Linked DNA regions of Stegostoma tigrinum. The protein of the gene in region 2 purifies or fractionates together with the protein of the main gene of each other region. This does not show direct contact. Links are inferred from orthologs where the notes say so. Each region holds a gene or a part of one and is shown on either strand. Other genes may lie near its edges.

Region 1 (6,586 bases), on a different chromosome or scaffold from region 2:
TTCTGACTTTTCTGCATTATCGAATGACATTCTGGCCTAATCATGTACATGAAACAGAAACCACTGTGGATGTACATTAGCTACCTTAAACATAAAACACTTTAAAGTAGTAAACCCAGAATGAGAAGATTGCCTTATTAGGAAGGGCTAACAGTGCATGCTTATAATCGCTGGAGTTTAGAAAAGTCAATTGAAATACTTGATTGAAATATTTAAGATCCTGACGAGACTTGACCAGATGAATGTCAAAAGAATATTTCCTCTTGTGGGAGAATCTAGGACTAGGAATCAGAGTTTAAAAATAAGGGGTCACACATTTAACATAGAGATGAAGAAACATATTTTGTCTCTGGGAGATTTGAATATTTTGGAATTCCCTTCCTCAAAAGGCGATGCATGCAGAATCTTTATTTTTAAGGCAGAGATAAATAGATTCTGTCTTTACATTTCTGATAATCCTTCATCCTTTTAGTAATCAAATTACCATTGTCTTGCCAGATCATTGGGTTCCTCTCTAAAGTGACAAGATTGATTGTGGTTTAACCTGAAGGTCACTATGCCTCAGGTAAGGGGAGAGGTTAAGGAGGAGAGTCCTTGTTAAGGAGGAGAGTCCTTTGTGGTTACCTGAGCTGGTGCAGAAAGTGAATCCACACCATTGATGTCACACTGCATTACAATCCAACCATCCAGCCAACTGAGCTAATCGACCCCAATGACAAGTTGAGGTTAAAATCAGGTCAGCCATGATCATCTTGAAATGGCAGAGCAAATTCAAAGGGCCAAGTGAACCTACTCTTGTTCCTTGTTCACATTGTTGTATGTTCAAAGTAATGAAAAGAATTTACTAACCCCAACACATCTTCATTTTTTCTGCTCTCAATATATTGTACTAAACTGACACATGAATGGCTCTGCTCAAAGAACTTCCAGACAACTGATGTTTCTAAACGGTAGATTTCCAGTCTGACTAGTCTAAACACTTATGCTATTCCATGAGAATTAGACATTCATAATTTTATGTAATAATGGAGTTTTGGAAAGATTTGTAAGGCTTTAATCAAAAAGCCATCAAAATTTGTTATAATTCAGCTTTGATAAAGTTTAATGTGGGTGTCCAGTTGAAATTGGTACAGATCACATCTGGGATTTCTACAACTCTAGAGGCCACATACTGTTGAGGAGTCTTGTACTATTCTTTAATGTACAATCAGTGAACTAGCTTTGTGCTTAGTATTGTTGTTTGAGTTGATGTAATAAGTGTAAAGAAATTTAATATAATCATCCTGGTATTACTTGCCCCGTCCAACTGAATTCTTTCTATCTCTAATTTTATTGTTTCACTTTGTCAAGGCTCATCCACCGCATCTGTAACACTGCCGGTGTCCTTTGCCACTTTTGACAATTTCCTGCTTTCTAACCCTAACTGTTTCCTTTTCACAATAGATGTACAATGTCTCTACACCATTATTCTTCATATGGACATACTGATAACATCATTTCATTGAATGGTGGCCCCAACACTTCAGATCTAGCACCATCCTGCTCTACCTGGTTGAACTTAATGTATGGCTGGCTTTTTAGTTACATGTGGAACATTTATTTTTTGAGTCCTACTTACTTTCTCCCCCATCTTTTTCTAGAACATTCACAGCTGTATCTATTTCCTCCCCATCCATCTCCAACTCCTCCTTCCCTCCCTTTCACCATCTTCTCCTCCTCTCCCCATCCTTTCTGACCTGGCGTCAGCCGCCTCCTCCCGTGCGAGGGATTGCTGTCCTGTGAGTCTGTCATGCGCAGTGGTGTCGTTGCCGCGGGCCGTGGTGTCGGCCGGCGCTGCTAACGTGTCACTGACTGAGCTCCACTCCCTCCCTCTCACACAGCCATGGAAGACGAGGAGAGACAGAAGAAATTGGAGGCCGGCAAAGCCAAGGTAAGAGTCCCTCACTTGCTGCGGCGGTGAATACTGGAGTCGGGATAAGGGAGGGACGGAGGCCGGCGCTGGTCGGCTGTTTTCTGTCTGGAAGGCACTAGTCCATGGCCCCGTCTCCAGGTGCAGAGGGATGAGCTTTAATATCTCTGTGCTTTCTAATTGGATCCGCAGGCTTTAGCCAACTGTAGGGGATTGTAGGCCTTTGGTAATCGTGCTTTTTATTGTTTACTTGAGGTGCCAGAAGGGCCTAGAGCAGGATCCAGGGCTTTGTTGTGAATTGAATTAAACGAGTTAATCAGAATCGATACAAAGCTATTTGCAAGGACGTGTCAAAGGAAAGATTGTACATTATAAATTGAACAGAAATTAAGTGTGTTAATGAAAGTTGTTTAAAGATTTTGCTTTCAGCGAAAACGGTTTGTTTCTGTTAACCGTGTTGGATTGGATGTAGCAGCTATTCGCAATGACAGCCCAATACATTACATACTTTCTAACGTCTTGAAGTACATTTAAGATAATACATCTTAAGAAGGCTGGAGTGAAAGTCACTTTAATGTAACAAAATTGCAGAAGTTTAACAACAACTTCTAAAGTATGTAATTGTTACATTTTTTCCAGATTTATAATTTAGTAGTGTTTAGTAATCCCATCAACAGGATTGGTACTTTAATAAAGGTATGCTGGAGTATTTGAACTGCCACCAGATTGTCTGATTATTATCATCTGTTTTGCCCAAGAAATTACAAGATTGTTTATGAACTGTGTGAGTAGTGACAGCTTTATTTCTGTGTGTGCTAAAATTCAATAGGCATAATCTCCCATTTTTATTGATGTACTGTAAATGTTTTGCATCACAGAGAAACTTAGATTTTCATATGGTTACAGAATGATTAAATGTGATAATTTCAGTAGCGTCTTTGTCTACAAGAATAGCCTCGTGCATATATATAGCATCTTATTGCATTCTCACATAATTCAATGCACTTGTGTATTTGTTTCCAGTGATAGTTGTAATCTTGCTGAGTGACGAATGAACAGGTGGGAAAGACAACCTTGAAGTTTGACATAGCTGCAGTAGAAGTTGGGGAAAACAGAATATAAAATGAATTAAATTAATCCATATTGATATAGCATGTGGATAAAGTATGAAAACAGTTTCTTTATTTGTTTCTGTGATATGCCTGTCATTATCAAGTTGTAGCTGCTGTTGACAAGGTTGTTGTGGGCCTTATTAAACTAGAGCAGTCTGTGTGATGAAAGCGGTCCCACAAATTTCACTGTTCATGATTGAGTGAAAGTAATTGATACGGCTTTGTTAGACCTCGGATGCTAATGTGAGAAACTTCTGCAATGATATCCTGAGGCTGATTAGAATCGGCAGTTGCCAAATGTTGTGTTGTGAAGTAATGTTTTACTCATTAAGCTGTTGCTTAGTCAAAGACTGAAGCAAATCTTTAAAGTCTTAGCATATTAGCAAAGTAGAATTCTTTCCCTCAGCCAATGGGATATTTAAGAAAGTTATGATAGTTACGAAAATGAGTATATTTCATGACATGGAGGGCAACTTTGAGTTTTGTTTACCAAAGTGAACACAAACTTTTTGAAGTGTGCATTTCCATGTTTCCATATCGATTTTAGCTTGTTGCATCCTCTTGATGAAGTATTAAAGTTCAACACACCACCTGCAAAATGGATAAGGTAAACTGTACAAAATTGGACAATGTCTAGAAAAAATCCTAATCACCAAATCTTAATCTACATGGTCAGTATCTTTGGAATCATGTCTGACTGGTGAAAGAGAAGCTGATTCAGAGTTAACATTTCAAGTCTGACATAATACTTTTGAACTGATTTGTGAAAAATGATCAGAATCAGCAGTTCCCAAATGTTGTTATGTAATGGTTTTGCACATTAATTAAGCTTTTTACTCAAAGAATACGTACTCTAGAAGAGTCAGAACAGACTTGACATGTTAAGTCTTTTTCTGCCTCTGCAGATGCTGCCAGACCTACTCCAAGTTTTTCTGTTTTCATTTCTGATTTCCAAAATCTTTAGTATTTTGCTTTTATATCTTTATCTTATGTTTACTACTTGCACCAAGTTTTGAAATATATATTTATATTACATAGAAAATATATTCCCAGATGTTCCTCTCAGCATTATCCTGGATTGGAAGTCATTCTGAATCTGTCATAATACTATTATTGTTGCTTCAGTTTTGTTTTTCTTCTCACATTGGAAAGGCTTTGAAAAAGATGTGTAAAGTTTGTTCAGGGAATGAATTCTTGCTATAGTCCCAACTTAGTTGACTGAATCACTTGGTTCGTACTGGTTTAGATTATGGGAATGTAGGAACAGGAATAGGACCATTATGCCTTGAATTCCGGTTCTACTATTCATGGCTAATCTGTACCTTCACTGCACGTGCTTTGACTCAGACTCCTTTTCTATTAATGTCCAGCATGTATCTATCTCTGATTTAACATATTTAATTGAGCTAGCATCTACTCAATTAATTGGAATTCCAAACTGTTTCCAAGACCCATGATGTCAGACGGAAATTAATTTGATATTTGAAGGAAATTGCAGGGGTATGGGGATAAAACAGCACCTGAACTGACTGGATTATTCTTTGCTTAATGTCACCTACTGGAAGGGACATGTTTCTCTCCATTAACCATATTATTTCCTTTCAATATCTTAAAATTCCTTGGTCAAATTACCCCTTAGCGTTGTATGCTCGAAGCATTGTGCAGAAAGATGATGCAAGCAACAAAATCATTACTATTGGAAATGAAATATAACATAATCTGTAATACAGAATTGTTTGCAACATCTTTTCCAAACGAGACTATATTAAACAATTTGTATTCTAGGCATGAGGGAATATGTATAGGATTAATTGTCATTATTTACTATAATGTTTTAGTTTCTGTTTATGTGAAGAAAAATGTAAGATCTTGTATCTCTAAAGATTCTGATAATCTGAAAAGTCATGATCAAATTTTCTATTTTCAGCTTGCCCAATTTCGACAACGGAAAGCCCAGGTCAACCTTCATAATCCGGGAAAAAAACAAAAGAGAAAGAAAAAAGTAGTAAACAAACCGGAGGAGCAGGTGGAGTACGTCACACCTAAACATCAGCAACAGGATGCTAAAACTAGGGCAGAGAGTGGTCCACTAGGAGATGGAGAGTTCATAATTAATAGGATTTTACACAGTGGAGATGTAATCAAACAGGACCAGACCTATATGTTTGAGGTGAGAATTATTTGTGCTTTGTTTTTCTTCAATTTAATAAGATGTGACAAATTCATTTATCGTGTGCTTATATACCATGTAGGATTTGTGTGGTGTTTTTTTATAGTTTTACAGTAAGAGAACAAAAGCCTAATATTTTCCCAGTTCTGCTAAGTTCATACATTATGTGCTGTGGGTAGAGGGTGTTTCATTAAGTACCAAATTCATATGTTTCTGATTGGAAGAGTAGAATTTTGTTATAACAAGGTGTAGAGCTGGATGAACACAGCAGGCCAAGCAGCATCAGAGGAGCAGGGAGGCTGACGTTTCAGGCCTAGTCCCTTCGTCAGAAAGAAAAATTTTTCTGAAGACCGGTCTAGGCCCGAAGCGTCAGCTTCCCTGCTCCTCTGATGCTGCTTGGCCTGCTGTGTTCATTCATCTCTACACCTTGTTATCTCAGATTCTGCAGCATCTGCAGTTCCTACTATCTGTGTTAGAATTTTGTTACATTGGTTGCGGGAAATACAACTTGCCATTAGCACCGATTTCTTGGTATTCAGAAAAAGTGACCTAACCCAAAACATCCTTGCAAAGATGAGATATGATCACAATACACCAGTTCAACATGTTAGCCTAGATTTTGTATGTCTGTTTTTATTTCAAAGATCTACTTTGCTCGTAAAAATATGTTTGTGTACATGTATAGTCATTAAAGCAGTTCAGTTCTATACAAATACAGGGAGAGTGCAGGGAAGTGGAGTTGAAATGCCCATCAGCCATGATTTAAATGGCGGGGTGAACTTGATGGGACAAATGGCCTTACTTCCACTCCTATGTCTTATGGTCTAAATGCATATGAAGAAACAAAACCCTATCCAGCAATCAAACCCAAGGCCTTTGTTACTCACCCATATTTACATGCATTTGAAGCACTGGGGCAGGACCAATAACGGAACAAATTTCTACTTAACTTCGGCAGGGAGACCTTAGATAGAAGGTTTTCCCCATTGTACCTTGGTGGCAGCTGCCCTGATCTTTAGTGCGTCCTTCCGCATGTTGTCTTGGGCCTTGGATTGTATAGTCTGCAACACTTGAGGCTGATTCCTTACCCTGGATGTCCAACAAGATTGAGGCAGACCAAAGAGTGTCTTTCACCAAGTTGATGGTCCTCCAGGCACAATTGATGTTTGTCTCGATATGCGTCCCGGGGAACAGACCATAGAGCATAGGGTCCTGCGTCACAGCTGTTTGGGACCAACCTCAACAGAAACCGCAGCATTTTTCTCCACACTTGCTTTGCAAAAACATACTCCAGAGGTGGTGCCTGAGTCTCTACCACATGTGTACACACACACATACTCCATCCCTCCCACTCTCTCTCTAGGCATACATGACGGATTGTGCAGGTACTGCCCT
Region 2 (6,586 bases):
GTGTAATCTGTCTTGTCAACTTGTAGCACTCAAGTCTCTTGGGGCCCCTGGAACACAATTTTTTTCCCTTGTAAATCATGTGCCTGCATATTAGAAATGTCTAAGGATTATGTCCAAGCTCGCTAAATGCTCCTTACTGGTCTTCCCCGTCATTAGCACATCACTGAGATAAATGGTGACCTGAGGAAGACATTGTAAAATATTTTACATCATCTACGGAAAAATTACAGAGGCTGACAAATCCCCAGGTGGCAGCATTTTATATTGGTACGAGTCCTTATGGGTACTAATTGTAAGGTGAATGACACTGTGCATGCCTTGCAGAATCATGGAATTGCTTCCTGGTCAACATGCAAGTTGGCCTTGACTCCTTTGACAGTCCCTAGACCTTCCTGAAAAACTTCCAGGCATTTAATTAGGACTTCACTAAGGAAGGACTTCACCATTTTCTACTCAAAAAATATTGAATAAATCTAGGTGAGTCTTTCTCAATCAGTTTCACCCAAGAAGCTTGGGCCTGAGCCTTTTACTATGATCAGTGTTAACTGAACCAGCTGCTTTTCATAAGAGACCGGAACTGAAGTTGTATTTTAATCTGTAAAGATTCCCTGGTATAGGCTCTCAGTATAGTCAAGGTATTGCACAAACTTAAGGTTTAGAGTCCGGAGTGAATTTTATTAAGGACTGGTTCTGTGATCAATGAAATGACCTTGCTGGTATCGACTTCCATTAAAACCAGGTGACCATTTAACCAGATGCTTATTTTGATTGCTTCTGATTTGGATTTTGCTAAGCAGTTTAACTGTTCCAAATCAGATGTCAATGGACTTTTCAGGGTATGCACTCTCCTGAATACTGGCCTATGAGTTATCTGACTTGATTTAGGTCTAATGGAGTCTTTTGCTGTCTCAAGTCTGCATACCAGCAGCAACTACAATGACTTGCTGGTCTGAATCCTGAAGAAAATTTTAATCCTCTAGCCAAGGCTTGGCTTTGTTTTAGGGTTTTGCTGCCTGCTGACCTAGAGTCCCACTATTCAGGATATGCCCTAAGTAATTGCCTTCACCCAGATGGTGTTCCCCAAGCTCAGGTGGACCAGTGAGGGTGTCCACTTCCATTGGAATATCCTGCAACTCACATGCTCCATTTGCCGCATTTTCAATGACAAAGCCCATTGCAGTGCCTATTTGATGTCAAGCTGGGCTTCAGCTAATAGGCGCTTTTGCATGGTCACAGATTTAATCCCACTCTCATCACCACTGAAATAACTCCACAGAGGTTGGTATCTGTCACCAAGCCACTCTTTATTCACACGTATTCTAGCTCCCTTAGAGCCTGCTCTCAGAGTGAGCAGGATGTCTGATACTCCTGCTTTTATCTTCCAGCCACTGGTCCCTGATTGAACCAGGTTAACAGCCCAAATCAGGAAATTCATATTTTGTGAGGTCCACCTGGTTTACCTCATTACAATCCTATCGTTATAAGTTTGGGTTGTTGAAGAGTGGGTTTGTCAAAAGGGAGTGGTCCCTCTGGAAGATAGAGGGAGATGAAAAGACTTTCCTGATGATGTCGTCATGCACAAATATCCAAGCAGGATCTTTTAGGGACAGAGACTGATGGTTAAAAATGGTAGATGATGGATCTCGAAGAGAAACTGTGTCATTGTTGAAGATCAGAGGCAAGGGATAATCCTTTTATTGGTATCTTGAAGGCAGTAATAACATAGAGTCGCAGTGGAAATGCAATTGTATGCGTGTGTGTGGTGTAAGAGTGGGAGGCAAAGATCTGAAGAAGATATAAATTTGTAACAATCGGTGAAATAATGGGTTTAAGTTGAACAATAGGTCTATACCTGAAGGGTTTTTGAAAGAGGATGCAAATATTTAGTTACATCCTAAGAAAATATCCTTGTATCATATAACAAAGACATTTTACATCAGAAGATTTGGGATTAGTTTAAGGATTGTAACTGAGAGAACTAAGCACTAACAGTGCAGAGGGAGATGGATTAGAGAAAGCAAGATGACTGGTACTTTTTTGAGCCATAAGATTGCAATTTTCCAATTAACACATCTGGATTCCCATCAACATGATGCAATATGGGAATCGAAAGGGTCATTTCCTGTTTGTCAAATGCTAAATTATAGTTCTCGCTGTTGGATCCTGATTGGATACTTTAAAGTTTCAACGAGCTGAAGTCATGCAGCTGCTGATTGGAAAGTATGATTTATTCCAGTGTGTGGGAAGGACAATTGAGCTGTGTGTGTGCCAACCAACTGCATGGAAAATTCTAGTGCCTGAATTTGGTATATCATCTGTTGTATTTTGTTATTATTCTAATGAGCACCAGAATGCCGTGCTAATCATCCTGAAATGTCAACAATGGCAGTGCAAGTTATACTGCAATCACAGTAATTACATGACAGATGTCGTACATGATTTCTGAAGAATTCTATGTGTCAAGTTTACTGGGTTTTATATTTATTCTATTCCTTGGTAAATGCCAAGTAACTTTTCAGGACATCACATCTTAGTGCTAAAATAAGTCTCATGCCATTGGAATGTTTCCTGAATGGGGTGAGTAGGTTCTGTGTTAATACTGACAAAGTGTATGAAACTGTCTTAATTGCTATCTTTCTTTGTAGTGAACCAAACAATGGTATGTGCGAGGCCTCAGAAAGGGGGTCTCTAAGGGGGTTAGGGATATGATACCCTGAAAACATTGAACAAATGAGAGACTGTAGCAAATGTCCTTCTGTATTTCAAGCAGATCCTTAATGAGTTCCCCCTGGGGAAGGGGGACTGTGGAAGAAAGTATGTGGGGCACTCTGGTTGGGTTTATATATGTTATTGGAACAGAAATCTTACTTGGAGTAAGGGCTCAAAGCTATTTTTAAACACTTATTCCATTTAACTCAATGTTATATGCAAAATTTAAATGGACATAAATTGTGAAGATCCGAACAAAATATTCACAAGTTGTTTCTAGGCTGTTTAATACAGGATTTCGATAGTGCTATGTTTCAGAATTGTTCAATTATACCAACATTAGGAAAGCATACATTTCTGATTGATTTTGTTCATTGAATGCTAGGTAAGCTTAACTGAAGGGCATATAAGGAAGTAATGGTAAATAGGCAAGACACAATATACTTTGACAAAGCCTATAACTTTTACACTCATGTCCTGTGTCTAGGAATCTGAATTTTGGATAAAATATCCAATGAACAGAAAAAGAATGCATCCTGATTTTTGTTTTTGGGGCATGAGTGTGAGGCCTACAAGTCAAGGAAACTCAAGCAGTCAGCATGAGTCTCAGAACTTTTATAACGTCATCACAAATTTAACATCGGGACAAATACCTCTGCAAAGAAGACTTGAGCCATTGTGCAGCTAAACTACCCTTTGTTATGCAACACAAGTGTCTCTTCATGTTTAGGATCTCTTCTGCTCTGTCTCACATGTCTGTTAACTTGTCTGGCCCTTAGACAAAGCACAGCAACAAGGATAGGGCTCTTGTGGTGCAGTGATAGTACACATATCTCTGAACCAGGAGTCCCAAATTTAAGTTCCAGCAATGTGTAACAACATCCTTGAACAAGATGATTGGGAAAATGTCTCGAAAAGAGGACTGCAGTCCCATGGAATCATTTATACCAACATTAGGAAAGCATATATTTTTCATTGTATTTGTTAATTAAGATTAAGTAGATTTGTGGATTTGCAGTCCAAGTAAGTTTTGTGACTTGGAGGAATCCGTGGGCCGTATATATTTAGATTGTAGTCGATTATAGAACCCTTTCTGTTTTTTTTAAAGAGCTGCTTCCAAGTTTTTGGTTTCAGTGGGAGTCTTCAGTGGGCAGAATCAAAGGGCCACATTTAGGTCTACATATTTGGTAAGATCAAAAGTGAGAATATAGAATTTTGCTTCTTTTAATTTAGGTAGTGGGATCACTAATTCAGTCCACTCTACTTGAAACTAGTTAAAATCATAATAATTGCTTCAATGAATAATGCTTTTAAATTGAAAATGTCCCAAGCCACTTCACAGTCATCTATGGAGAGAAAAAAATAAAGGTAACTTATCGAGTCAGTGACTCCATTCTGCTACAAGGTCAAAGAACTGAAATTCTGACTCCGTTTTTCTCAGTCCACAGATGCACAACACAAATCTTCAATTTGAGGCTTTAAGGACCAGAAGATGAAATAGGTCAGGACAGGAATGAATTAATTCTACATACAGTTGGATATTGGCAGGAAATTGGATGTGTTTAAGTGTTTGGTTAAAATAATAAATAAATATGTCTAGATATTTTTAATCAACACAATCCGACATGTTATTTATATTTATTCACGGGATGAGGGTGTTTCTGGCTAGGTTATTACTTATTACCCATCCTTAATTGCTCAGAGAGAGCAACTGGAAGTCTACCACATTGTTGATGGCCTGGAGTCATATGTGGACCATACCAGGTAAGTACAGCAGTTTCCTTCCGTAAAGGAACATTCGTGAACAAGTTGGGTTTTGTCCAGCAATGGTTTCATGTTCATTATTAGACTTTTAATTCCAGATTTTTATTCAATTCAAGCTCACTCCCTCCACTGTGGTAGGACTCAAGACTGCTCAGGACAATTTTGCATAAGCTCCTAATGGAGGCAGGCACCTGACTCATGATCACTTTAATTATCCCAAATTAGTTCATGATAATTGTACCTTTTGTTATTGTGCAATAAACAACACCTTGTTGAGCAACACAAGTGTCTCTTCATGTTAAGTATCTCTTCTGCTCTATCTGCACCTCTGTTAATTAGTTCGGCCCTTAGACTGAGCATAGCAACAAGGATACGGCTCTTGTGATGCAGTGATAGTACACATATCTGTGAGCCAAAAGGCCTAAATTTAAGTTCCAGTGATGTATGACAACATCCTTGAACTAGTTGAATGGGAAAATATCTTGAAAAGAGGACTGCAGTCCCACCTATTCATAGATTAAGTGGGTTTATGCATTTGCAGGCTACTTGTGATGTTTGAGACCTTGAGGAATCTGTGGGCCATATATATTTAGATTGCAATAGATTCTAGACACCTTCCTGTTTTCTAAGGAACTGCTTCCGAGTTTTTGTTTTCACAATGGCCCTACGTTCCTGTTCTTTGCAACCCTGGTTTGGGAGAGGCAGATAAATTGTAGGATCTCCCCCTGAAAATGCTCCTGAGTTAGCCAAGCCAGCTATTAACTGTGATAATGGGAACTGCAGATGCTGGAGAATCCAAGGTAATAAAATGTGAGGCTGGATGAACACAGCAGGCCCAGCAGCATCTCAGGAGCACAAAAGCTGATGTTTCAGGCCTAGACCCTTCATCAGAGAGCATCTGATGAAGGGTCTAGGCCCGAAACGTCAGCTTTTGTGCTCCTGAGGTGCTACTGGGCCTGCTGTGTTCATCCAGCCTCACATTTTATTATCCCAGCTATTAACTGGTCAGGGCAGCGGGTTGTAGATGGGTTGCCTGCTTCTCCTTCACAGTTACATTAATGCTAAGATGAGAGGCACCACACAGTGTCCTCTGCTGTGCTTCAGGACTTCTATGACTGGTGGGCATTGCTGGGGTGGGGTTACAACATCATCACCCTCAAACTAAAATTTAATTCAAATTTTGTAAGTTACCTTTGTAAGTTTGACCCTTGACACAGTGGACTTCAGGAGCTGTAAATTCCCCAAATTTTAGTTTGGTTAATTGTTTTAAGTTAAAAGTAGGAACATTGGTGCCAAAGAACTGTCTGAACAATAAGCCACCCATGGTTGGTACCAAGATCCCAATACAACAAAGTGAATAATGGTGGACAGATAGAATCTGTTTGCAGCTTTTTTTGAAGACAAGTGGATTTTCCACTTTGAGGATGTTGCCATTTAGCTCACACAGTCAGTCAGTCAGCAGCTGAACCAGGAAAAAAAACATATGGTCAGCAGCGCTCACGGGAGCAGCTGTAGGTTGAAAGCAGCACTCCAGAAGAAAACCTTCACCTCAGAGCTGTTGAAATGTGCAGCAGGAATATTTTAAGTTAATAAATGTACCAAAGCTGGCCACACCAGGAAGAGACAGAAGTCTGAGAGAAGAAGACTCTGTGAAATCTAATGGTAACTTCATAAGTAACATCGGTGATTCTGGAGAAAAATCTACAAAATTATTGTAAGGACCTTTGGGGGAGGAAAGGGAGTTATAAGAGAGTGCTTACGTCTTAAAACCCAGTGGAGCATGGAATTTGTTAGTTGACATTTTTGCACTGCAGCCTGGTCTCCCTGGCTGGGGAGTCCAGAACTCGGGGACACAGTTTCAGGATACAGGGTAGGCCATTTAGGACTGAGATGAGGGAAAATTTCTTCATTAAAAAGATAGTGAACTTGTGAAAATCTCTGCCATAGAAGGTAGTGGAAGCCAAGTCATTGAATATATTGAAGAACGAGTTTTAAAAAAACTATATTTTAAAAGCACCAAGGGGTATGGAGAAAAGGTGGGAATATGGAATTGAAATAGAGTTTCCGCCATGATTAATGAATAGCAGAGCAGGCTCAAAGGGCTGAACGGCCC

The links.
Region 1: the proteins of cAMP-dependent protein kinase type II-beta regulatory subunit (region 2) and akap9 purify together in Homo sapiens (affinity purification with mass spectrometry; 3 studies listed by BioGRID and IntAct, counting the BioPlex papers as one, with this or other methods). This does not show direct contact. The link is inferred for Stegostoma tigrinum from reciprocal best matches to the Homo sapiens genes PRKAR2B and AKAP9.

What each region holds. Positions count from the first base shown.
Region 1 is NC_081355.1:108,966,223-108,972,808, reverse strand, and holds the start of akap9 (A-kinase anchor protein 9), read left to right. Parts: upstream 1-1,802; 5' UTR 1,803-1,882; coding exon 1,883-1,930; intron 1,931-4,948; coding exon 4,949-5,191; intron 5,192-6,586. UniProt on the Homo sapiens protein: Scaffolding protein that assembles several protein kinases and phosphatases on the centrosome and Golgi apparatus. Required to maintain the integrity of the Golgi apparatus. Required for microtubule nucleation at the cis-side of the Golgi apparatus.
Region 2 is NC_081378.1:35,346,956-35,353,541, reverse strand, and holds the start of cAMP-dependent protein kinase type II-beta regulatory subunit, read left to right. Parts: upstream 1-2,399; 5' UTR 2,400-2,577; intron 2,578-6,586. UniProt on the Homo sapiens protein: Regulatory subunit of the cAMP-dependent protein kinases involved in cAMP signaling in cells. Type II regulatory chains mediate membrane association by binding to anchoring proteins, including the MAP2 kinase.